Pelodiscus sinensis: one gene and its partners. The protein of the gene in region 2 purifies or fractionates together with the protein of the main gene of each other region. This does not show direct contact. Links are inferred from orthologs where the notes say so. Each region holds a gene or a part of one and is shown on either strand. Other genes may lie near its edges.

The links. The genes of interacting proteins can lie anywhere in the genome.
Region 1: the proteins of MTX2 (region 2) and CHCHD6 purify together in Homo sapiens (co-immunoprecipitation; 3 studies listed by BioGRID and IntAct, counting the BioPlex papers as one, with this or other methods). This does not show direct contact. The link is inferred for Pelodiscus sinensis from reciprocal best matches to the Homo sapiens genes MTX2 and CHCHD6.
Region 3: the proteins of MTX2 (region 2) and IMMT purify together in Homo sapiens (co-immunoprecipitation; 5 studies listed by BioGRID and IntAct, counting the BioPlex papers as one, with this or other methods). This does not show direct contact. The link is inferred for Pelodiscus sinensis from reciprocal best matches to the Homo sapiens genes MTX2 and IMMT.

The regions. Positions count from the first base shown.
Region 1 is NC_134721.1:24,267,909-24,275,807, forward strand, and holds the start of CHCHD6 (MICOS complex subunit MIC25), read right to left. Parts: upstream 3,057-7,899; 5' UTR 2,941-3,056; coding exon 2,851-2,940; intron 233-2,850; coding exon 94-232; intron 1-93. UniProt on the Homo sapiens protein: Component of the MICOS complex, a large protein complex of the mitochondrial inner membrane that plays crucial roles in the maintenance of crista junctions, inner membrane architecture, and formation of contact sites to the outer membrane.
Region 2 is NC_134717.1:44,842,321-44,849,588, forward strand, and holds the start of MTX2 (metaxin-2), read left to right. Parts: upstream 1-4,193; 5' UTR 4,194-4,325; coding exon 4,326-4,365; intron 4,366-7,268. UniProt on the Homo sapiens protein: Involved in transport of proteins into the mitochondrion.
Region 3 is NC_134715.1:122,618,629-122,626,442, forward strand, and holds the start of IMMT (MICOS complex subunit MIC60), read right to left. Parts: upstream 3,057-7,814; 5' UTR 2,826-3,056; coding exon 2,781-2,825; intron 2,424-2,780; exon of another isoform or gene 2,287-2,423; intron 1-2,286. Other genes in the region: MRPL35 (large ribosomal subunit protein bL35m), read left to right, coding at 6,885-7,084. UniProt on the Homo sapiens protein: Component of the MICOS complex, a large protein complex of the mitochondrial inner membrane that plays crucial roles in the maintenance of crista junctions, inner membrane architecture, and formation of contact sites to the outer membrane.

The DNA.
Region 1 (7,899 bases), on a different chromosome or scaffold from region 2:
GTACAAGCTTGTTACAGTATAATGGCATTGACCAGGCCTCAGTGACCAAGTATCAAAACTTTAGACTGGAGACACAGCACAATCTGACAATACCTGTAGTAGACTTGGGTTTCCCTTCTGCAGCTTGTGGTGGTGATGCAGTGTCATAGGATGAAGAAGAAAAGGAAGATGGTCTCTGGTCTCCTTTAAGTTGAGGAGTTTCCTTCATTCGATTCACTACATCTTCAGAGAGCTAGAGCAATTTGTTGGGGAGATGTTAAGTGAGTCAATTCTTGATTTTTATTCTTTATTAAGTGGAGTCACCAACAGGTAATTATTTTTAATTCTGCTTATGTTATTTTAAAACATTATTTCAGATCAATGTATCTGTTGTTCAATTCACATTTAGAAAATATATCACATCAGGAAGTTATGGAGTTCCAGTAACCGAGTCTAAGGCTAGACTGGACAAAGAACTGAAGAACAAGCTATAAGGAACAATCCTGTACACAGTGTGGGAGGAGGGTGGGAGGAGCAGGGAAGGATCATTATCTAGCAGATCTTCAGTTCATACTTTTGTAAGTCTAGGAAGAGTTTTTCACAAAACAATAATGAAATGGAAGGGACAAATGTGTCTTATCTCATACTTTGGCAAAGTAGAAAATACATGCAAAAATGTCCTGGGAATTCAATTCCAAGTGTCTTTCTGCCCTTGCCTTTGATGGCATAGACAGGGCTTACATGTCTTTTGATTTACCTGTTCTTATTTACACTTCTTCTGAGTTATCTGATTTAATCTTGTACTAGCCACTCCTCCCTAGTGGACAAAATTGAAGGGTACTCAATTTCAGTGTCCCATGGACACACTTCAGGGCATAAACCAGAATATAGATTTTAAATTTGCTGCTAGTACCCAAAATAAGCAGCATGTTAACATCTTGATTGCATATTGTGATAGTCAGTTTGGTCTTAAGACTTCAACTCTATTCCCTTCTGCTATAAATGAAACACACACAGTAGGCTATCAGCAGATCCCTGGGAACACAGCTCCAGACATACAACATGCACTGCAAAAAAAGAGATAGATAATTATGATGTTTTAGCTATGACAAGGACAAAATTATCAACTCTACAGAAGTGGGTGTACTTCCTTGAAAGAAAATGAACTGTCAACACTAGTTATAAAGCATCTGAGGTTTTTGTAAAAAACAAAGTAATTCCCTTAGAGTTCCAAGAGTGATGAAGCCTATTTCATTTAATAAAAGCTTGCGACTGGATTCAGCTTTGTAATTCAAATGAATGAGCTAGGGAGGTCCCCATTCCTTTAGCGTGAGCTCCTATAATGACAAATATCAGGGCTCCCTCCATTTAACCTCAACTCCTAGAGATCAATGGAATGAACCAATAACCATGAATCAACAATTTTCTTTAATTCAACCACATTCAGCTGAGCAGCAACATAAAATTAACAAGGCAATTCATTTTGTTGTGTAGTTTGTTCATGGAACTGAACACTAAATGGGCCCAGCTAAACAGCAGCATAGAGAAAATTGATTAGGTTTAGATTCTACTCTATATCAAAGATCTGCAACAGGAATCTAAAACAACACTAGTCAGATCCTTATGATTGGAAAGATATGAACATTCTTATCTAGTCTCACTCAGCAGGCCGTTTCACACTGAGCTAAGCAAATAGGCAGCCAAAGGGGATACAACTGGCACAAAGGAAATAATGCAAAATTGCAAAAAAAGTCAAGTAACAGTAAAGAAATAAGGAGACAAATACAAAAGAGAAAAATGCAACCTAGAGACATGACCAACTGTAGCTCAAAGAAAACTTTAAAAACAATGACTAATCTAGCAGCACCTTAAAGACTAACAAAACATGTAGATTAGTAATAGAGACGTAGCAGTGTTAGTGTGGTCTTGCTGAAACAAAAGACAGTATCTCAGACATTAACCTCCCCTCTCCCTACACCTCCTGCTCTAAAATCTGATTTGTCAATTTTATACGTGTTCACATTTTTTTTTGATTGTATCCCTTTGGTATATATGGTCATGCCAATTTTCTTCCACAATTTGATCTGAGGAAGTGGGTCTGGCCCCCGAAAGCTCATCGCCTAATAAACTATCTTGTTAGTCTTTAAAGTGCTGCATGGTCCTATCTTTTATTAAAGCATGTAGATGGTATCGTGAACTTTTGTGGGCACAGAAATGGGTTGTGCCCACAAAAGCTCATGATACCATCTACATGTTTTGTTAGTCTTCAAGGTGCTGCTAGACTATTTGTTGTTTTTTCCAGTTACAGACTAACTTGGCTACTACCCCTCTGAAGCCTTTGTACCTTTAGGGTATGCTATGAGGAGGCAAATGGGGCTGCCTTCCTAAGATCCAATTTTAACCACTCCCTGCCCAATACTACTGGAGATGCTTTTAATCTTCACTCTCAACTCCTATGCCCCTATATACAGTATCTACATTGCACCATTCACTATAGTGCCCAGGTGATATTAATTAAATGGTGTTGGTCTCATCCCTTGGATGCTCTCTGAGCCAGTATCTCAGCTGCCACCTCCTGCCTTTAATGTCAAATCTTCTCTAACCAGAGTGCAGAATGGATTAAACAGCTGGGGGGGGGGGGGGGGGGGGAGGAATACCTTGTATCTCACTAAAACAGACCAGTTCCATAGCTAGCTATCGCTCCCTAGTCCCAGCACCGCTCCCCCTACTACTCCACCCAGCCCCTCTCCTCCACCCCAACTCCACCCACCTAAGGCCCCTCCCCCACCAAGCTTCCCTCTCATCCCCAGCCCCTCTCCCGCCCCCACAGCCTCTCAAGCCAGCTGCCTTCTCAGACCCAGCCCGGCTCACCCTGATGCCCTGCAGCACCCGCACTCGCTCCTGCTCATCCAGCCCGAAGGAGACTTTCCTGTTCCCGTAGCTGCTCTCGCTGCCCCCCATGCCGGCGGGGCTGGACCGGAGTTATCCCGCTGTGCCCCACACTTAGGCTGGGGCAAAGCCTCCTCAGCTACACAAACTCTCCCTAGCCCGCCTACCAACAAACCCACGTCTCATTGGTGGCTGGCAAGGAAGCAGCCAATGGAGAGATATGTTGCTGGCGTTGGCCCGCGGCGCAGGCTGGGAAATGTAGTTTGGTGCTGGGGGATGTTCCGCCAAGGGCTCTCTCTGGATAGGGTTGAATTAGAGAGCCAACCAAGGAAAGCAACGGGCATGAGAGGGGCGGGACGGCCTAGCTACTGAAAGCTTTTCTCAGGCCTGAATTAGCCACTGGGTATTAGAGGCTGAGCTTGAGGTCCTAGTCTCCCACAAGCTCCCTGGTAGGCAACCCCCAACCTTCCCAGAGGAGCAGAGCTCTGCTGTAGAACAATACTGTGATCCCCCAAGCTTTCCACATCATGAGCTGGGCAGGCCTCCAACATAATAACTTGAGGGTTTTTTTTTTAAATAAGTAGTTGGTTGGGCTATTGCTTGTCTTCAGAATTCTTAGCCTTTCAGTTCACTTGCATGGATTTTCTGCATCCCTACAAGGTCTTATAAACTTCCATTAATTTAAAATGGGGGCTCTTCAGGCCCATATGCAGGAATTTCGAGGGTATTGTGTGCTTTTTTCCCCAAAATGTGAATTGCAAGGACGTGAACACACCTCATCTCCATGGCCCCCCAATTAAGTATTGGTTTAAGTTGTTAATATATGGTACAGCCATCAAGAGCACTGGGTGGGTGCCTATACTTTTGAAATATAAAGAAATTACTGAATACATAGGGATGTTAGAAGAATTAGCTAGTTCATAAAAAGAAAGATTTTTCTGATATTCATCCTACCTCTTCTCTTTCTGAATGTTGTCCCCTTACTTCTCTTGCTGTTGTGCAGCACAGTAGTAGTTGTGTGGTCCCATTATACTAGAGACAGACAGAATTTGGTCCAATAAAATATTGTTTCACCCACCTTGTTTCTCTTTGTGCTCACTGTATAAAAGGTTGCCTTCTCTCCTGTATCACAGTGATTTAGATGGAATTTCACTTGGTACCTTTTCTTACACACATTGTTCATAGCTATTTCATTTGAAATTTTTTTTGGCAATTTTGGAACTCAGACCCACCTGGAATATGTAACATTTGGGGGCAGCAGAGGGGAAACACAGCATGCTGAGCTCAGTTTGACCACTTCCTTTGAGTGTGGTTGTCAAGACACTTGATGATATTTTTATATCCTTTTCAAATAAATGCGAAATATAGTAAGGCTCCCACTTAAGCTATTATCATTGTCATAAAGAATGCCCATTGCTTTTATGAGGGTGCCTTGATTTTTAATCCAAGTTGCCACCTCTCATGGTTTTATTGTGAGTCTCGTGTTATCTGATGTTCTTAAAGTTCTTGGATTCATGTGATTACAAGAGAATATCAGCGTTCAGGTAGAAAGAAGATTGGTTTCTAGCTACTATTGCTGAAGAAAAAAATTGAAAAACCTGAACCCTAAAGGCCCTAACACCAAATGGCAAATTAAAAGCCAGCCTCCCCTCCCCATTTAAATCTTAATTATTTTTAAGCCAACATCATGATTTTGAAATTTGATGTTAGTAATGCTTCAAGCTGCACTGCCATCTAAAAGTCTCCTCGCTTCAATATTGGGGAAGGTTGAAAACAGAATTCTGTTTGGGTCAAATGGCATCTTTTTGCAGAGACCTAGCAAAACTCAGTGTCTGTCTTACAACATGTACCTGTAGATGAACAATAGTTTTAGTTGCACACAGTTTAGTAGAACGCAATGTTAACTAGTAGGTATTCTGTGCATACAGTGATCAAATTGCACACCATTTATTTTGTTTAAGGCTTCATTTCCAAAGAAGAAGGCAACAGGTTTATTCTGTAAACATGTGTATGAACTTACTGTATCCATTGTTGTATTGCAAAAAATAATTAAATGCCTTTGCAACATGGATAATTTGTACATGTATACAAATAGCTAGGAGCCAATTGCAAACATGGGAGCTTTGCAGCCTTCTTTGAAAATCTGGCACCTGAACAATGTTTTAACTCATATTAAGGCAACTAACTCAAACATTGCAGCTTATAACAGTTAATGTAGCGTTTGGGTCTTTTGGTGCTCTAGATTCTGGTATTTTAGGATGAGTCTACACTGCAGCATAGCTCGAAATAAGATATGCAATTTGAGCTATGCAACTTGCATATCTTATTTCAACTGCATTTCAAAATAGCTTATTTTGTAATTTAAATTCAAAATAGCCAGTTATTCCGAAACATCCCTTACTCCTCATGGAATGAGGCTTACAGGGATGCCGACATAATAAGCCCATTAGATTTCAAAATAAAGGGCTGGCTGTAAAGATGTAGGACAGCCATTTTAGGATACTCTGGTATCCCAAAATAGCATTGCAGTGCAGACGTAGCCTTAGAGGCCGAGACTGGCTAATTGGCATTTCATTGCATGTGCAAAACCAGAGCACACTTCTGTGATCATTTCTGATTCTGATGGCACCCTTTTAACTGACATTACATTGCAAAACGGGTGTAATAGGGCCTACTGGAGTGCAAAACAAGAACCCCGGGGGCTAGGAACTAAGGATGTTAAGGACCAGTCGACTATCCAATAAGCATTTGCTTATCAGATAGTTGAGTTGACTAGTCGATTTCCACTAGTCAGATAGAGGCAGCAAAGGGGGGAAAGAGGGAGTATTTCAAAGTGGCAGCACCGCACAGAACCTGTACCCTGGGCTCCACTCAGAGGCTGCAGCTTTGAAACGTTGGGCGGCATTTCAAAGGGGCAGTGCCGCACAGCTGATCCTGGGCTCTGTGCGGGGCTGTCCCTTTGAAACACTCCCCAGGTGACCCCAGGCTCTGCAGGGCATTTCCACAGAACCTGAGGTCAGCTGGGGACTCCCCCGCTGATCCCAGGCTCCAGCACAGCAGTTCAAAGCATGCAGAGCCTGGGGTCAGCAGGGGAGTCCCCAGCTGATCTCAGGTTCTGCAGAAATGCCATGCTGAGCCTGGCGTCAGTCCCCAGCTGAACCTGGGCGCTGCATGGCATTTCCATGCAACCTGGGATTAGCTGGGGACTCCCCATCTGATCCCAAGCTTCAGTGCAGCATTTAAAAACGCATGGCATTTCAAAGCAGCATTGCCACATAGAACTCTGAGTCCCCCGCTGACCCCAGGCTCCATGTGGGCGCTTCCACTTTGAAATGCGCAAGAGCCCGGGGACTCCTATACATTTCAAAGGAGAAATGCGGAAGTGCCTATCAAATAGTCAAGTAGTCAATGGAAATTCCATCCACTACTCAACTAGTAAATTAATTGTTATTGAACATCCTTACTAGGAACAGGACCTGGCTTTGTAGGACTTGCAATGCTGGGCATGGGCATGGGCAGGGCAGAGGAAAACACGGAATCCCACCAACCAGAACAGGAGAGAGGGGTGTTCCACACAGCTGGGCTGCAGAGCCCTGGGAATGAAGACACACCGGAGAGGAAGCGCAGCTCGCAGTGTGGCTCTGGGTGGTCTCTGGAGTGACACATACTTGTGTCCCAAGGACAGGCAGTAGCTCAGAAGAGAGCAAGCAGCAGCAGTGACTGCAGCTCTGCTCCCCAGGACCTGGCCTGTGAGGAGGGGATACATGGGGCTTACGGTGCCTTTGCCTTTGAAGCTCCTTAGCACAAGCAGTCCCTGCCCCGCCCTACGCGGGTATGGCATTGAAGTGGTGCCTGGTGCTGGCTCGCTGACCACAGGGGCAGAAGGCTGCAGGGAGAGCCCCAGATGCCCAGCCCTACCTCTGACCTAGCTCCTGGGGTGAAGGGGCAGGAAAATCAGCCCCAGCCTTCCCCTGGCCAGCCAGAGCACAGGGAAGGGAGAAGTGGGCAGTGCGCCCCTCCCGCCTTCCCCCGGCTGGTTGGAGCACAGGGGAGGGGGGTCGGGCAGCGTACTGCTCCTGCCTTCCCCCAGCTGGCCAGAACATGTTTACTTGAGGGATCCTGGGAAGTGTGTTTGCACCCTGCATATGGGCCTGCTCTTATCTAGTCTCTTGATTGCAGTACCTGGGGCTGTATGACAGCATATCACCAACAGGCAAAACCATACTTTGGACCTCTAGAGCTTAGTGCATGAACCTCTATGGCTTGAACTATCAAGGCAGCTGGCTCTCAGCTAAGGCTGTAAAGCAAACTCCAACTTTATAGCTAATCTATTAAAAAGCCTCCATCACCCAAAGAATGATTCCACAAAGCAGCTAAGATTCCATGTCATTCTATCTATAAATTATGGAACCATGCAGTGGTTCTCAGTCAGAGAAACATGTACTATTGGGTTTAATGCAGAGATTTTCCAGAGTTTATCAACTCTTTTAGATTTTGCCTAGTTTTACAAGCTACATAGAAAGCTCTATGAAATCAGTTCTTCCTAAAATTTCATACAATCATTTGTTTATATTGCTCTATATTAAACATCAAAATGTAAGGGCAATATGTACACTCCAGTCAATTGGTTTTTTAATATACGGTAAAAATAAACCATTTTTCAGTAATGGTGTGAGGTGACACCTGTGTCTGATTTTGTAAGCAAGTAGTTTAAGTGAGGTGAAACTCGGGGTATGCAAGGCAAACCAGACTATTGACAAGAATACAGTAGTGTGGCATGGTTGAAAGCCACTGCCTCAATAAACCTATACAGAAGCAGTTGTGGGGACTTTTATAGGAGGCATCGCTAGATGTGGGATATTTGTTGAAGTCCACAGTAATGTTAAGCTAATTAGATAATGCAAGTTATTACTACTCCTTTATCAGTCCATGGAAAACAATGGCAAATCTCTCAGGCTAGGTCTACACTACAGTATAGGGGGGTTTTTTCAGAAAAAAGCTATGCAAATTACTGCAATCTGCATAGCTTTT
Region 2 (7,268 bases):
TGAAAGAAGAGCTGTGGAAGCACAAAAGCTTGTCTCACCACAGATATTACCTCACCCACTTTGTCTCTCTACTATCTGGGGACCAACATGGCTATGATAACACTGCATACTAAATAAGGCTTACAATTGACTGATCCCCATATATGGAGCCATTGCAGTTTAATGTGGTATGTTGTGTTTGATCCAGATACATCCAAGAACTACAGGACTAAGGGGTGCAGTGTGTGAGAGGTTTGATCCTCAGGCCTTTGGGAGCCTCTGCCAAGCATGGACCTGTACAGTGTGTAGGGCAGGGGCAGGAAACTTTTTTCAGGATGTGGCCCCCAAATGAGAATGAGAAAGATACTACCCACAGTCTCCTCACACACCAGAGCCTGATGGGCCCCAGACTAGTAGATTTTGTGTATTCCAGCCCCTCAGGTAGGTGGATGGGGAGAGGGGGCTGGAGCACCAGGCAATCCAGGGGCTGCATCTAGCCCCCAGATCTTTGGTTCCCCATCCCTGGTGTAGGGGGTTGATCCTCAGCCCATGGAAGCCTCTGTGCAGCATGGGGCTGTAGTATATGTATGTGAGTGTGGCGGCAACAGGGGGAGGTTGCTGTCCAATCTGTGGGAGCCTTTGCCCAGCAGCAGATTACATGGTTTGTGTGTGGGGGAGGGGTGATCCCCAGTTCCCAGGAGGCTGTATATGTGTGTGGGGGAAGGGGAGTTGATCCCCAGTCCAAGGGAGCCTCTGTGCAGCAGGGGCTATGTGTGTGAGGAGGAGGGGGGAGTTGATCCCGTCCATAGGAGCCTGTGCAGCAGGGGCTCTGTGTGTGTGTGTGATGGGGGAACGGGGAGGGAGTTGATCCTCAGTCCATAGGAATCTGTGCAGCAGGGGTTGTGTGTGTGTGTGGGGGGGGGGGACTAGGGGGCTGATCCCCGTCCATAGGAGGCTGTGCAGCAGGGGCTGTGTATGTGTGTGTGGGGAGGGGCGGGGGCGGAGTTCATCCCCCATCCATAGGAGCCTATGCAGAAGGGGTTGTGTATGTGGGAGCTGATCCCCAGCCCATAGGAGCCTGTGCAGCAGGGACTGGGGGGGAGGGGAGAGGGAAGTGATCCCCAGTCCATAGGAGCCTGTGCAGCAGGGGCTGGGGGGGGGGGAGAGGGAAGTGATCCCCAGCCCATAGGAGCCAGTGCAGCAGGGGCTGGGGGGGGGGGAGAGGGAAGTGATCCCCAGCCCATAGGAGCCAGTGCAGCAGGGGCTGGGGGAGGGGCGGGGGAGGGAAGTGATCCCCAGCCCATAGGAGCCAGTGCAGCAGGGGCTGGGGGGGGGGGGGAGAGGGAAGTGATCCCCAGCCCATAGGAGCCAGTGCAGCAGGGGCTGGGGGGGGGAGAGGGAAGTGATCCCCAGCCCATAGGAGCCAGTGCAGCAGGGGCTGGGGGAGGGGCGGGGGAGGGAAGTGATCCCCAGCCCATAGGAGCCAGTGCAGCAGGGGCTGGGGGGGGGGGGGGAGAGGGAAGTGATCCCTAGCCCATAGGAGCCAGTGCAGCAGGGGCTGGGGGGGGGGGAAGAGGGAAGTGATCCCCAGTCCATAGGAGCCTGTGCAGCAGGGGCTGGGGGGGGGGGGGAGAGGGAAGTGATCCCTAGCCCATAGGAGCCAGTGCAGCAGGGGCTGGGGGGGGGGGAAGAGGGAAGTGATCCCCAGTCCATAGGAGCCTGTGCAGCAGGGGCTGGGGGGGGGGGGGGAAGAGGGAAGTGATCCCCAGTCCATAGGAGCCAGTGCAGCAGGGGCTGGGGGGGGGGGGGAGAGGGAAGTGATCCCCAGTCCATAGGAGCCTGTGCAGCAGGGGCTGGGGGGGGGGGGGAGGGAAGTGATCCCCAGTCCATAGGAGCCTGTGCAGCAGGGGCTGGGGGGGGGGGAAGAGGGAAGTGATCCCCAGTCCATAGGAGCCAGTGCAGCAGGGGCTGGGGGGGGGGAGAGGGAAGTGATCCCCAGCCCATAGGAGCCTGTGCAGCAGGGGCTGGGGGGGGGGGAGAGGGAAGTGATCCCCAGTCCATAGGAGCCAGTGCAGCAGGGGCTGGGGGGGGGGGAGAGGGAAGTGATCCCCAGCCCATAGGAGCCTGTGCAGCAGGGGCTGGGGGGGGGGGGGGGAGAGGGAAGTGATCCCCAGTCCATAGGAGCCAGTGCAGCAGGGGCTGGGGGGGGGGGGGGGAGAGGGAAGTGATCCCCAGCCCATAGGAGCCAGTGCAGCAGGGGCTGGGGGGGGGGGGAGAGGGAAGTGATCCCCAGTCCATAGGAGCCAGTGCAGCAGGGGCTGGGGGGGGGGGGGAGAGGGAAGTGATCCCCAGCCCATAGGAGCCAGTGCAGCAGGGGCTGGGGGGGGGGAGAGGGAAGTGATCCCCAGCCCATAGGAGCCAGTGCAGCAGGGGCTGGGGGGGGGGAGAGGGAAGTGATCCCCAGCCCATAGGAGCCAGTGCAGCAGGGGCTGGGGGGGGGGGGGAGAGGGAAGTGATCCCCAGCCCATAGGAGCCAGTGCAGCAGGGGCTGGGGGGGGGGGGGGGGGGAGAGGGAAGTGATCCCCAGCCCATAGGAGCCAGTGCAGCAGGGGCTGGGGGGGGGGAGAGGGAAGTGATCCCCAGCCCATAGGAGCCAGTGCAGCAGGGGCTGGGGGGGGGGGAGAGGGAAGTGATCCCCAGCCCATAGGAGCCAGTGCAGCAGGGGCTGGGGGGGGGGGAGAGGGAAGTGATCCCCAGCCCATAGGAGCCAGTGCAGCAGGGGCGGGGGGGGGGGAGAGGGAAGTGATCCCCAGCCCATAGGAGCCTGTGCAGCAGGGGCTGGGGGGGGGGGAGAGGGAAGTGATCCCCAGCCCATAGGAGCCTGTGCAGCAGAGGCTGGGGGGGGGGAGAGGGAAGTGATCCCCAGCCCATAGGAGCCTGTGCAGCAGAGGCTGGAGGGGGGGGGAGAGGGAAGTGATCCCCAGCCCATAGGAGCCTGTGCAGCAGAGGCTGGGGGGGGGGGGGAGAGGGAAGTGATCCCCAGCCCATAGGAGCCTGTGCAGCAGAGGCTGGAGGGGGGGGGAGAGGGAAGTGATCCCCAGCCCATAGGAGCCTGTGCAGCAGAGGCTGGGGGGGGGGGGAGAGGGAAGTGATCCCCAGCCCATAGGAGCCAGTGCAGCAGAGGCTGGAGGGGGGGGGAGAGGGAAGTGATCCCCAGCCCATAGGAGCCTGTGCAGCAGAGGCTGGGGGGGGGGGAGAGGGAAGTGATCCCCAGCCCTAAGGAGCCAGTGCAGCAGGGGCTGGGGGGGGGGGGAGAGGGAAGTGATCCCCAGCCCATAGGAGCCAGTGCAGCAGGGGCTGGGGGGGGGGGGGAGAGGGAAGTGATCCCCAGCCCATAGGAGCCAGTGCAGCAGGGGCTGGGGGGGGGAGGGGAGAGGGAAGTGATCCCCAGCCCATAGGAGCCAGTGCAGCAGGGGCTGGGGGGGGGGGGGAGAGGGAAGTGATCCCCAGCCCATAGGAGCCAGTGCAGCAGGGGCTGGGGGGGGGGGGAGAGGGAAGTGATCCCCAGCCCATAGGAGCCAGTGCAGCAGAGGCTGGGGGGGGGGAGAGGGAAGTGATCCCCAGCCCATAGGAGCCAGTGCAGCAGGGGCTGGGGGAGGGGGGGAGAGGGAAGTGATCCCCAGCCCATAGGAGCCAGTGCAGCAGGGGCTGGGGGGGGGGAGAGGGAAGTGATCCCCAGCCCATAGGAGCCAGTGCAGCAGGGGCTGGGGGAGGGGGGGGGAGAGGGAAGTGATCCCCAGCCCATAGGAGCCAGTGCAGCAGGGGCTGGGGGGGGGGGGGGAGAGGGAAGTGATCCCCAGCCCATAGGAGCCAGTGCAGCAGGGGCTGGGGGGGGGGAGAGGGAAGTGATCCCCAGCCCATAGGAGCCAGTGCAGCAGGGGCTGGGGGGGGGGGGGAGAGGGAAGTGATCCCCAGCCCATAGGAGCCTGTGCAGCAGGGGCTGGGGGGGGGGGGGGAGAGGGAAGTGATCCCCAGCCCATAGGAGCCTGTGCAGCAGGGGCTGCTGGTGGGGTGATGCCCAGCACGGACCATACGGGGATGACCCAGGGTAGGCCAGGCGCTGGCTGCCGTGTCGGTGCACTCCGGGGAGGGGGCCCGCGGGCCGGGCCAGGCGGCACTGCGGGAGGGGCGGGCCCGGGAGGCGGAGCGGGCCCCGGATGCACTTGCCCCGGCGCTGCCAGGCCGGCTCCTAGTTCCTGCGCGTGCCCTTAACCTTGCGGGGCCCGTTCCGAGCCCAAGCGGGGCCGCGGCTGCGCCTGGTGCGGGCGGGCTCGGCCGCAGGGATCATGTCGCTGGTGGCGGAGGCGTTTGTGTCTCAAATAGCAGGTAGCGGGAAGGAGGCGCTGGGGGGCGGGGGGCGCTGGCACGAGGCAGGCCGGGTTCGGGGCGAGATGGGCCTCGCGGCGGGGCAGGAGGCAAAAGCCAGTGGGCCCTGCGCAGCTCCCCGTTCCCGACTCCGGCCGCAGGGTGCGAGACCCGGCTCTCGTGCAGTCTGGCCGCGTCCCGTAGGCAGGGCCAGGCCCTGCTACCTGCGCGGTGACCATGCTGTTGATGATGCGGTCGGAGGAAGGTTTGTTATGGTGTTTAAGGAGCTGGATTCTCTATTGCAGGAACGATACCACGCGGCGCGGCGTCCCGCTCTGTGCGTTCTGCTTTGGAAATGTTGCGAGGCAAACCTCAGAGTTTTTAATAGCCTGCTGTCAACAACGTGTGTCCCCTCACTGGCCTCTTACAGAGAGAAACACATGCATCGGATGATTTGACTCGCCTAGTGTGCTTTTGTTTCCCTGCCACCGCAAAAGGATGTTTGTTTCTTTTTTAATATGCAAGGGCATTTTCCTCTTATCAGAAGTAGAGGTTCATTTGCTCAGGAAGGACAGACAGGGAAATAAGGGAGGAGGGGTTGCCTTGTATATTAAAAATGTACACACTTGGACTGATGTGGAGATGAACGTAGGAGATAGCTTAACCCAGAGACTCTCTACACAGCTAAAAGGGGTAAAAAATGAGGGTGATGTCATGCTAGGAGTCTACTACAGGCCACCCAGCCAGGTGGAAGAGGTGGATGAGGCCTTTTTTAAACAATTAACAAAACTATCCAAAGCCCAAGATTTGGTGGTGATGGGGGACTTCAACTATCCAGACATATGTTGGGAAACTAACACAGCGGGGCGCAGGCTATCCAATAAGTTTCTGAACTGCATTGGAGACAACTTTCTGTTTCAGAAGGTTGAAAAAACTGCCAGAGGAGAAGCTGTTCTGGATTTGATTTTAACAAATAGGGAGGAACTAGTTGAGAACTTGAAAGTGGAAGACAGTATGGGGGACAGTGATCATGAAATAATAGAGTTCATGATCTTAAGGAAAGATAGAAGGGAGACCAACACAATTGAGGTAATGGATTTCAGGAAGGCAGATTTTGATAAGCTCAGAGAACTTGTTGGTAAGGTCCCATGGGAAGCAAGACTGAAGGGAAAAACAACTGAGGAGAGTTGGAAGTATTTCAAAGGGATGTTGTTAAGGGCCCAAAATCAAACAATTCCGCTGTGTTGGAAAGATAGAAAATATGGCAAAAGACCAGCTTGGCTTAACAAGGAGATCTTGCATGATCTCAAAATAAAAAAGGAGTCATATAAAAAATGGAAACTAGGACAAATAACAAAGGATGAATATAGGCAAGTAACACGGGAATGCAGGGGCAAGATTAGAAAGGCAAAGGCACAAAATGAGATCAAACTAGCTACAGGCATAAAGGGAAACAAGAAGACCTTTTATAAATACATTAAAAGCAAGAGGAAGACCAAGGACAGGGTAGGCCCACTGCTCAGTGAGGAGGGAGAAGCAGTAACAGGAAACTTGGAAATGGCGGAGATGCTCAATGACTTCTTTGTTTCGGTCTTCACCGAGAAGTCTGGAGGTGTGCCTAACGTAGTGAATACAAGCAGAGAGAGGGTAAGTTTAGAAGATAGGATACACAAAGAACAAGTTAAAAATCACTTAGGAAAGTTAGATGTCAGCAAGTCACCAGGTCCTGATGAAATGCATCCCAGGATACTCAAGGAGCTGAAAGAGGAGGTATCTGAGCCTTTAGCTATGATCTTTGAAAAATCATGGAAGACAGGGGAGATACCAGAAGACTGGAAAAGGGCAAATATTGTGCCCATCTATAAAAAGGGGAATAAGAACAACCTAGGAAACTACAGACCGGTCAGTTTAACATCTGTCCCAGGGAAGATAATGGAGCAGGTAATTAAGGAAATCGTATGCAAACACTTGGAAGGTAATAAAGTGATAGGGAATAGCCAGCATGGGTTTGTGAAGAACAAGTCATGCCAAACTAATCTGATAGCTTTCTTTGATAGGATAACGAGCCTTGTGGATAAGGGAGAAGCGGTGGATGTCATATACCTAGACTTTAGTAAGGCATTTGATACGGTCTAGCATGATATTCTTATTGATAAACTAGGCAAATATAACTTAGATAGGGCCACGATAAGGTGGGTGCATAATTGGCTGGATAACCGTAGTCAGAGAGTTGTTGTTAACGGTGCTAAATCCTGCTGGAAAGGGATAACAAGTGGAGTTCCGCAGGGGTCTGTTTTGGGACCTGTACTGTTCAATATCTTCATCAATGATGTAGATATTGGGATAGAGAGTATGCTTATTAAGTTTGCAGATGATACCAAACTGGGTGGGGTTGCAACTTCTTTGGAGGATAGGGACATAATTCAAAATGACCTTAGCAAGTTAGAGAAATGGTCAGAGGTAAACAGGATGAAAGTTTAATAAAGAGAAATGCAAAGTACTCCAACTTAGGAAGGAACAATCAGTTCCATACATACAAGATGGGAAGCGACTGTCTAGGAAGGAGCATGGCGGAAAGAGATCTAGGGGTCATAGTGGACCACAAGTTGAATATGAGTCAACAGTGTGATGCTGTTGCAAAAAAAGCAAATATGATTCTAGGTTGTATCAACAGGTGTGTTGTAAGCAAAACTCATGAAGTCATTCTGCCGCTCTACTCTGCATTAGTTAGGCCTCAGCTGGAGTACTGTGTCCAGTTCTGGGCGCCACATGTCAAGAAAGATGTGGAGAAATTGGAAAGGGTACAGAGAAGAGCGACAAGAATGATTAAAGGTCTAGAGAACATGACCTATGAAGCCAGGCTTCATGAACTGGGCTTGTTTAGTTTGGAAAAAAGAAGATTAAGGGGGGACATGATAGCGGTT
Region 3 (7,814 bases), on a different chromosome or scaffold from region 2:
CACCTTATAACTGTTGGCCCAGTGTTTAGAGTGACACCTGGGACACATATTTAATTCCCTCCTTTGCCAGAGGGAGAGAAAAGATTTGAACAGGGGTCTCCCATGTCTCACAAGAGTGCTCTAACCACTAATCAAAGGCCTATGTTGATGCAAGGCTCCACTCCTCTCCCTTATAGAAGCTGTTCCATTGGGCATAAATAAGTGTGATTGAAGCAGGAAGACTGGATCCTTCAACTTCCACCTTCCAGATAGGTGTCCCAACCACTCTATCAAAACAGCCCTTAGAATTAAAGTTATGTATTTCTAATTTTCAGCTTCTAATTCCTGTGGGGCCCCAAGTCTTCAAGAAACATGAATAGGACATTAAAATATGTGACTCAGTAAAAGATTTTACAGCTCAGTACCAGCTCCTGGTGAACTGCCTGCCACTTTGCATGCAAACATGTACCAGCTGAAATTTTCAGCAGTTACATATTTACTTAAACTATACAATAATCCTGATTAGCCAAAATTTGTAAGTTCACCAAAAATCTTTAACACACGAAGGCTATGTCTACACTGGCATGATCTTGTGCAAAAACTCTTCCAGAAGAGAGCATCTACACTGGCACGTGCTTTTGCGCAAGAGCATCCATGCCAGTGTAGATGCTCTCTTGCGCAAGAAAGCTCTGATGGCCATTTTAACCATAGGGCTTTCTTGCGCAAGAAATTCATGTTGCCTGTCTACACTGGCCTCTTGCACAACAGTTGTGCAAAAGGGCTTATTCCTGAGCGGGAGCATCAGAGTTCTGGTGCAAGAAGCCCTGATTTCCTACAGTAGAACGTCAGTTTACTTGAGCAAGAACTCGTGGTCAAGTTTTTGCACAAGAGCAGCCGCTTTTGCGTAAGAGCACGCCAGTGTAGACACAGCCAAAGGGTAAGTGTGTTCAACTCTCAAGAGATGGCTGGCAGTTTTTGGAAGTGTACCTTCTAGTGTACCACCCACTACTCTCACTTTCCACAAACCTTGATTTAAAGGATGTCAGATGATTTGCCATGCTGAATTCTTTAACCTTACAGTGCAACAGGAAGAATGCCAGCTACTGTTGTGGGGTGAGCTGGCTAGCTTTAAAGAGATTGCATTCTAAGTACAAAGCTATGAGGCCTTTTATATATTGGCTCCTTGTTGTTCTCTGTGGATGGAAAACATATACCAAAGGATAGAATAAAATCCTAAAAGTGTATGTTTAGTAATTAGCTTTACGTGCTTCTGTAAAGAAAGACACAATATTCCAATAAGGTACTTGGAAAAAAAAATCAGTCCCTTCTATAAATACAGTCTGCAGAAGAAAGTTTGAAAAATTGCTTTAAGGAAGACTTCAAGCTCATGCTCTCCAAACATGAGAGTTAAACTTCTGCTTTTATTTTCTGCAACTGGCTGCTTCTTGGAATGACAATATATACTTCTCATATATACCATTTTTCTCTTACACTGCCAACACTAACAAGTCCCATTCATTGAAGGATTGCAGATTCCCTCTTTTGGGGATCAACTTTAAAACTGCTTTTAAAAGCAAAGATGATAAAGGTAGCTCTGTGGATTTCAGCAACATTTAACATTTATTCAAAGTTTGAAGTATCCCTTTAACCTAACCCAAAGCAACTCCTGTCCACAATGATGTTCCCTGTTATTTATGAAACAGCAACATGCTCTGGGATAGTAAAGGAAAAAGTATGAAAAAGACCCACACCAGCACACGTTAATTTAGAAGAAGAAAGGTTGGAGTGTATAGGGAAACCAAAACAAGAGATTATCCTAGGGCAGTTTTATCATAATGGTCGTTTGTTTCCTTCTAAATCTTATAGAAGGCTTAAAACAAAACAAGAGAGAGGGAGAGTCATGTAATCAGGAGAAATCAGAGGGAAACAAGGTCATGTCCTTCTCCACTAAAAGCAGGCATCTGGGCACTTTAAAAACACGAGTGTCCATTTTGTTCCTGTAGCAAGAGACAGCTGTAAGACTATTTCCAACACCTGGTAGTGTTCATTGCACCTGCTGCTCCCCGACAAGGAAAGAGCAACCAGGGACACCCCCCCGCAAAAGTCAGGCTCACGTAGGTGTACAAGGCGCGCAGCTGGCACAGGCCCGCCTCTACCGTAGAGGGGATGCCAAGGAGACTTCAACGCCCAGCGTGCTAAGCCACCGCCTGAGCCCTGTAGAAGAGCTGCAACTACAACTCCCAGCATACGGGGTGAAACGAGGCTCCCGGCCCGTGACGAAGTTTAATCCCACAATGCACTGCTCACCTTAAGACCGCAGACCTCTCCTAAAGAACAGACGTCAGCAGCCTACAAACCCTCCACCCGCACAGCGCGAGGACCGAACGCAAGACGACAAGGACCGGCAGGCAGCGCGAAACCCCCATGCCCAAGACAGATTTGCGCGTTGCATTCTGGGGCTCGTAGTCTACTTAACCACATCATGTGACTCAGCTAGCTCCGCCTCGCACAGTCTATTGGGCCATTTCACCCGTCACTCAAAAGGCGGCCGTCCAATCAGAATCTACGTGCGCCCCGTCATTCGGGTCAAGCGGAGCCGCGATTAAAGGACGCGACTTCTAATCACTCTCTCCCCTGGTCTCCTCTCGTGCGACCCGATTCCGTCTCCTCGCCTGAAAGTAGCCTCTCGCGACTTATCGATACGGCTCCCCTCATATCGCAAGGAGGCCCCCGGGCGCGACCGGCCCAGGCGCAGCTCCTGCCTCCCTCGCCAGCTGTGGGCGGCCCCCTTCCCCGCTCACCTGGGCGGCGGCCGCGGCCCCCGCTCGCTGACACACTCGCAGCATCGTCCCGAAGCGCCGGGCACTGTGCGTGGTTAGCCGCGGGAGTTCACGTGAAGCTGCTGTGTGCGGCAACTCCCCGCAGGGCCCGCTGCCTCCGCCCCCCTCAGCAGCAGTCCAACCCACTGCGCAGGCGCAGCAACTGCCGCGCCGCTGAGGGAAGAGATGGTGACTGGCGGGGCCCTCAATCAGAATATGCAAATACGGTCCCTCCGCAGACAGGAGCCACGCCGGCGATATGGCGCGCTCAGAGAAGGGAGTGTCAGAGGGGGTAGCCAATCGCAACGCCTGATAATACAAGCAGCGCGCAGGCGCAGTGAGGGAAGTGCAGCGGCGGAGTAAAGAGCGGGGTGGAGCTGACGGGAAAGTAACCAAAGCGAAGGGGGCGGGGCTAGCCCTCGGCCCGCGCCTTGAGCTGGGTTGGAGCCTGTCAGCTGCAGCAGGGGCGCGGGACCAGGGGGCGCTGGCAAGCAGTGAAGCCCTCCAAGGCAGCGGTATGGCAGTAGCACCCCACCGCCCCCAGTGCCAGCATCCGCTGAGCCCTGAGGCTGTGTCTAGACTGGCCAGTTTTTCCGGAAAATCAGCCACTTTTCCGGAAAAACTTGCCAGCTGTCTACATTGTGCCAGCTGTCTACACTGGCTGCTTGAATTTCTGCAAAAGCACTGACGATCTTTTGCGCAAAACTTTTGCGCAAAAGGGCCAGTGTAGACAGCTCAGATTTGTTTTGCGCAAAAAAGCCCCCATCGCGAAAATGGCGATTGGGGCCTTTTTGCAGAAAAGCGCGTCTAGATTGGCACGGACGCTTTTCCACAAAAAGTGCTTTTGCGGAAAAGCATCCGTGCCAATCTAGACGCTCTGTTCCGAAACTGCTTTTAACGGAAAACTTTTCCGTTAAAAGCATTTCCGGAAAATCATGCCAGTCTAGATGTAGCCCGCCTGTTTCAGTTCCGGGGGGGGCGGGCCAAGCCCACCCACAGCAGAAGGTCCCTCTCTCCCAGTCTAAGGGGAGATGCAACTGAACCTATTGTGCTCAAAAAGTTTTAGGGTGGGGGGGCGACAACCATGAGCGGCCCATAACTGTCCCCACTCCCTTCTCTTCTGCCGGAGGCAGTGCCTCTCCTCTTCTCTCAAGAGCCTGCCCAGACTACTCCCATTGCTTCCCTTGGCGCCAGTGGCTGGGTGATAAGACCTCAGCCCTGGAGCTCTGGACAGCACTGCTGCAGTGCCCTCAACCCTGGGGCCAGAGCTGTCCTTACTAGTGCTGGTCCCTTATCCAGCCCAACACCAGAATGTACACACACACATGCTGTGGGGTGGGAGCAGCAGCAATGTGGAGCAATGTAGGGAGGTAGAAGCTGTGGGGAGTAGGGGTTTGCCAACTCTCCCAGGCTAGACACACTGTCAGCTGAGAAAGTTGACAACCTTGAAGCGGAGCAAGGAGGGAGGCTTACCTGCAGCATCAGGGCAGGAGGGCAGGAGGCAAGAGACACAGGTGGAGGCCAGAGAAGCAAAGCTGGGTATTTGGGCAGCCAACCAGGAGAGATTCAAATGCTGCCCTGCTGATTACAGAATGCTCACAGCCTGCAACGTGTTTCTGGTAGTGCACATCCACACATGCCTTGATGCACATAAAATTTATTACACTTGTCTACAGAAAAAAAAACAGAACATCGTCTCCAACCCTGATGATCCAGGTGGCCAGCCCCAGATCACCAAGCAACGTGCTCCAAGTGCCCGGCGGCCAGCATGCTCCAAGTGCCAGGAGGGCAGGGTGGCTCTAGTCCAGCCACCAATTCTTGCCAGAGCAGGCTGGCCAACCCCAGCCAGCCAGGGCAGAGTACTGGGAATAACAAGCAGGAGGGGGCTTGCTGGCCTGGACTGGGGAAAGAGCATGAGTGGGGCCACACTAGGCTGTTTTGGAAGGCATGCCTCCCTCTGCATATGATATCCACTGCCCGTGAGGACAGCTAATGAAAAACCAGGAACAGGAGTGAGGTCATATGGCCATGAGCAAGGAACTGGAGAATACCAAGCAGAGAGCCCCAGACAGCATTCACTGTTCCTCAAAAATGTTTAAGAATGCTGGTCAGAGGAACAGAAGTAGGCCCCACAGTCACAGAGCACCTCTCTCTCCAAGATCTTCCTAGTTTTATACATGCTACTTTGGTTAATGCAAGTAGGAGATTAATGAGGTCTCGTGACTTTGTGAGGCCATGGACAAGATGTGCAATAATCAGGAGGTATGGGGAAAATGCAGCCAGAACCTTGGAAAAATGTTCAGGAGGATCCAGAAAAGGGGCTGCAGCCAGGCACACTGCAGGTAAGTATGCACTAAGGTCTTCCTCATGCTGCAGAAAGGACAGGAGTCAGGGTCATGGGTGAACAATGCCAAGTAAATGCCCATGCTCACAGACACCAGCTGATATTCTTGGTGGGCTGTGGGACCAAGGTGGAATACAGACTGCTCCACTGAGGTTCCTAGTCCTCCAAGGCTGGTAGAAAGTCACAAGGTCCCTCACACTAGGACATGAGGAAGAAATGAAATGTATGGAGCACAGCACACAGAAGGCTCAGATTACACATGTGGAATGCTGGTGGAGGGAACTTGCAATGTAGGGATCTTATGAAAAGATCTGAAGTAGGGATATCACCGGTTAACAAGTAAGCATCATCTTTACCGTGTGACTCTTCTCGGTTACCCAGTAAACACCGCCTTTGCAGCGTGATACTTATCTGTTACCGGTTACCTGGTGAACACCACCTTTGCCACGTTACCGGTTAACCGATGCTCTGGTGCAGTGGGGGGCTACTCCAGTCTGGCTGGGTCTACTGCACCATGGGCTGGGGGTACTCCGACCCAACCGGGCTGAAGCAGCTCTCCACACATAATGCAGTGGGCCTGGCTGGAGCAACCTGTCACCCATGGCATAGTAATGACTCAACTACTTGATAAGCCTAGGCTTATTTGGTAGTCAACTACTCGACTATTCGCTTACATCATTATTCTAAACCTATTTATTGTTCATGATGTCCGTGTTTGCTTAAATCTAATAAACTGCAGTGTTAGATAAGAGCATGTTTCCTGGCAATTTAATCACAATTGCTGAATTCCTCTTGATTCCTTACACTACCTGGAGTGAGATAACTAAGCTGTCCCTGAGGTAACAGACTGGAAAAAAATGCTCCCAATAGTCCAGCTATCAGAGTAAAAAAAATGAGCCGTCCTGTAGCACCTGAGAAACTAACAAAAATATAGATAGTATCATGCACTTGAATGGGCAAAAGCCACTTCCTCAGATGAGCTATCAGTAGTTATCAGATGTGCTTCATAGCATCTGCACTTGGTGAGAAGGCTGTATCCTTTCCTTTGCCACTTGAAGATTAGATTAGCAATACCCTCTGTGTACACCTCTCAACTCTTAAATTGTCATGAGCCCAGACTGCGGCTGTCTGCACAGGAAGGGCCTGATCCTGCGATAAGAATGGTAGGGCAATAGACACTGCATGGGATAAATGTCAGCTCATGTGGTTTTCATTGCGAGAATGGGCCTTAGCGTTGTTTTCTCCCAGGGATGCGTTGCGCCCTGAAGCAACAGAGCAGTTTTAGGAAAACAATGAAAGGCAACAGTAAATGATCAGGAAGAGAAGATACAAGTAAGTATGGGTGGGATATACCTGTCCTTCTCATTATAGACGATTCCCCGCGGTCCTGCTGCTGCGTTTCTAATACAAGAACTGCTGTGCTATTACCAGTGGCCAGGCAGGGCGACTGACCCCATGCTGCAACGGCTCCAGGAAGGAACAATTTATTCCGCTTTTACTTCCGAACACTACTGAATTTAGCTAGCCCAGGCGGGTGCGGAGGGGCATTCAAAGCAGCTAAAGAGGCACTAAGGAACCCCGCCCTCGAACACCCGCCCAGAAGCAGGTGGTGGAAGGATTGCTGCCCTGGCCAGCAGGAGAGCGGAGTTCCCCTAACCCACAGAGACCCTGCAGCACAGCTGCTGCACCAGGCGCGCGCAGAGCAGCCGGCGGATGGAACGCCCAGCCGCCCACTCCGGCGCATGAGCAGACACTCGGGCGTCGGGCAGCCAGTGCGTGCGGGCGAGGAAAAGCGGCTTTCCGGCTTCTGTAACCGCTCGTCGCGCGGCCTCCCCGTTCTAATCCCGCCCCCCGCGCGCAGTGTGTCCCTCGCTGCCTGCCGTAGGCGGGCCGCAAACGGCTGGCAAGATGGCGGCAGCTGGTGTGGTACGCAGGTTATCGGGTCAGTGAGAAAGAGACACTGGCGGCGGGCGCCGTCTCAAAGGGGCCTCCTGGTCCGGGGGGAGGATGTAGGCGAGGGAGAGCAGCTGCTGGGGGAGGCTCCTTGCCCGTGGGAAGGATGCAAAGGGGGGGCGCTCGGGAGGGAAGCTGCTGGGGGGGGGGGCGCTCCTAGATCATCGTGGCCCTAAGCCCCTTGTGTTTCTTTGCCTCGTTTCAACAGCCTCTCCCTGCCGACGTGGGGAGGGTGGTTCTGTCTGGGGCAGCACAAACCAGGCACCCGCCTGGCCTTGGTTGATCAGCGACTCCAGTTCTCTGCTGTGGGATTCGGGAAGCTCACAGGGAGGCTCCGCCCCAACTGCACGCAGCTGGGAGAAGGGGGAGGGCACTGAGCATGTGTGGGAGAGGGGGAAGTGTGAAGTAAGGATGTTAAATATCGACTCATGTATTAGTCTAGTAGTCGATGGGCGTTCTGCGTTTCTCCTTTGACATGTACAAGAGCCCCAGCAGGGGCTTCTGCTTCGGAATACACAAGAGTCCCGCTGACCCAGGGCTCCACGTGGCGCTGTTGCTTTGAAATGCTGCACAACATTTCAAAGCAGCAGCGCCACACGAAGTCTGCTCTGTAATACCACCTCCTTCCCCCCCCCCCCCACACACACCCCTTTGCTGCCTCTATCTGATAGAGGCGACAAGGTGCGGGGAGCGACTAGTTGACTCGACTAATAAGCATT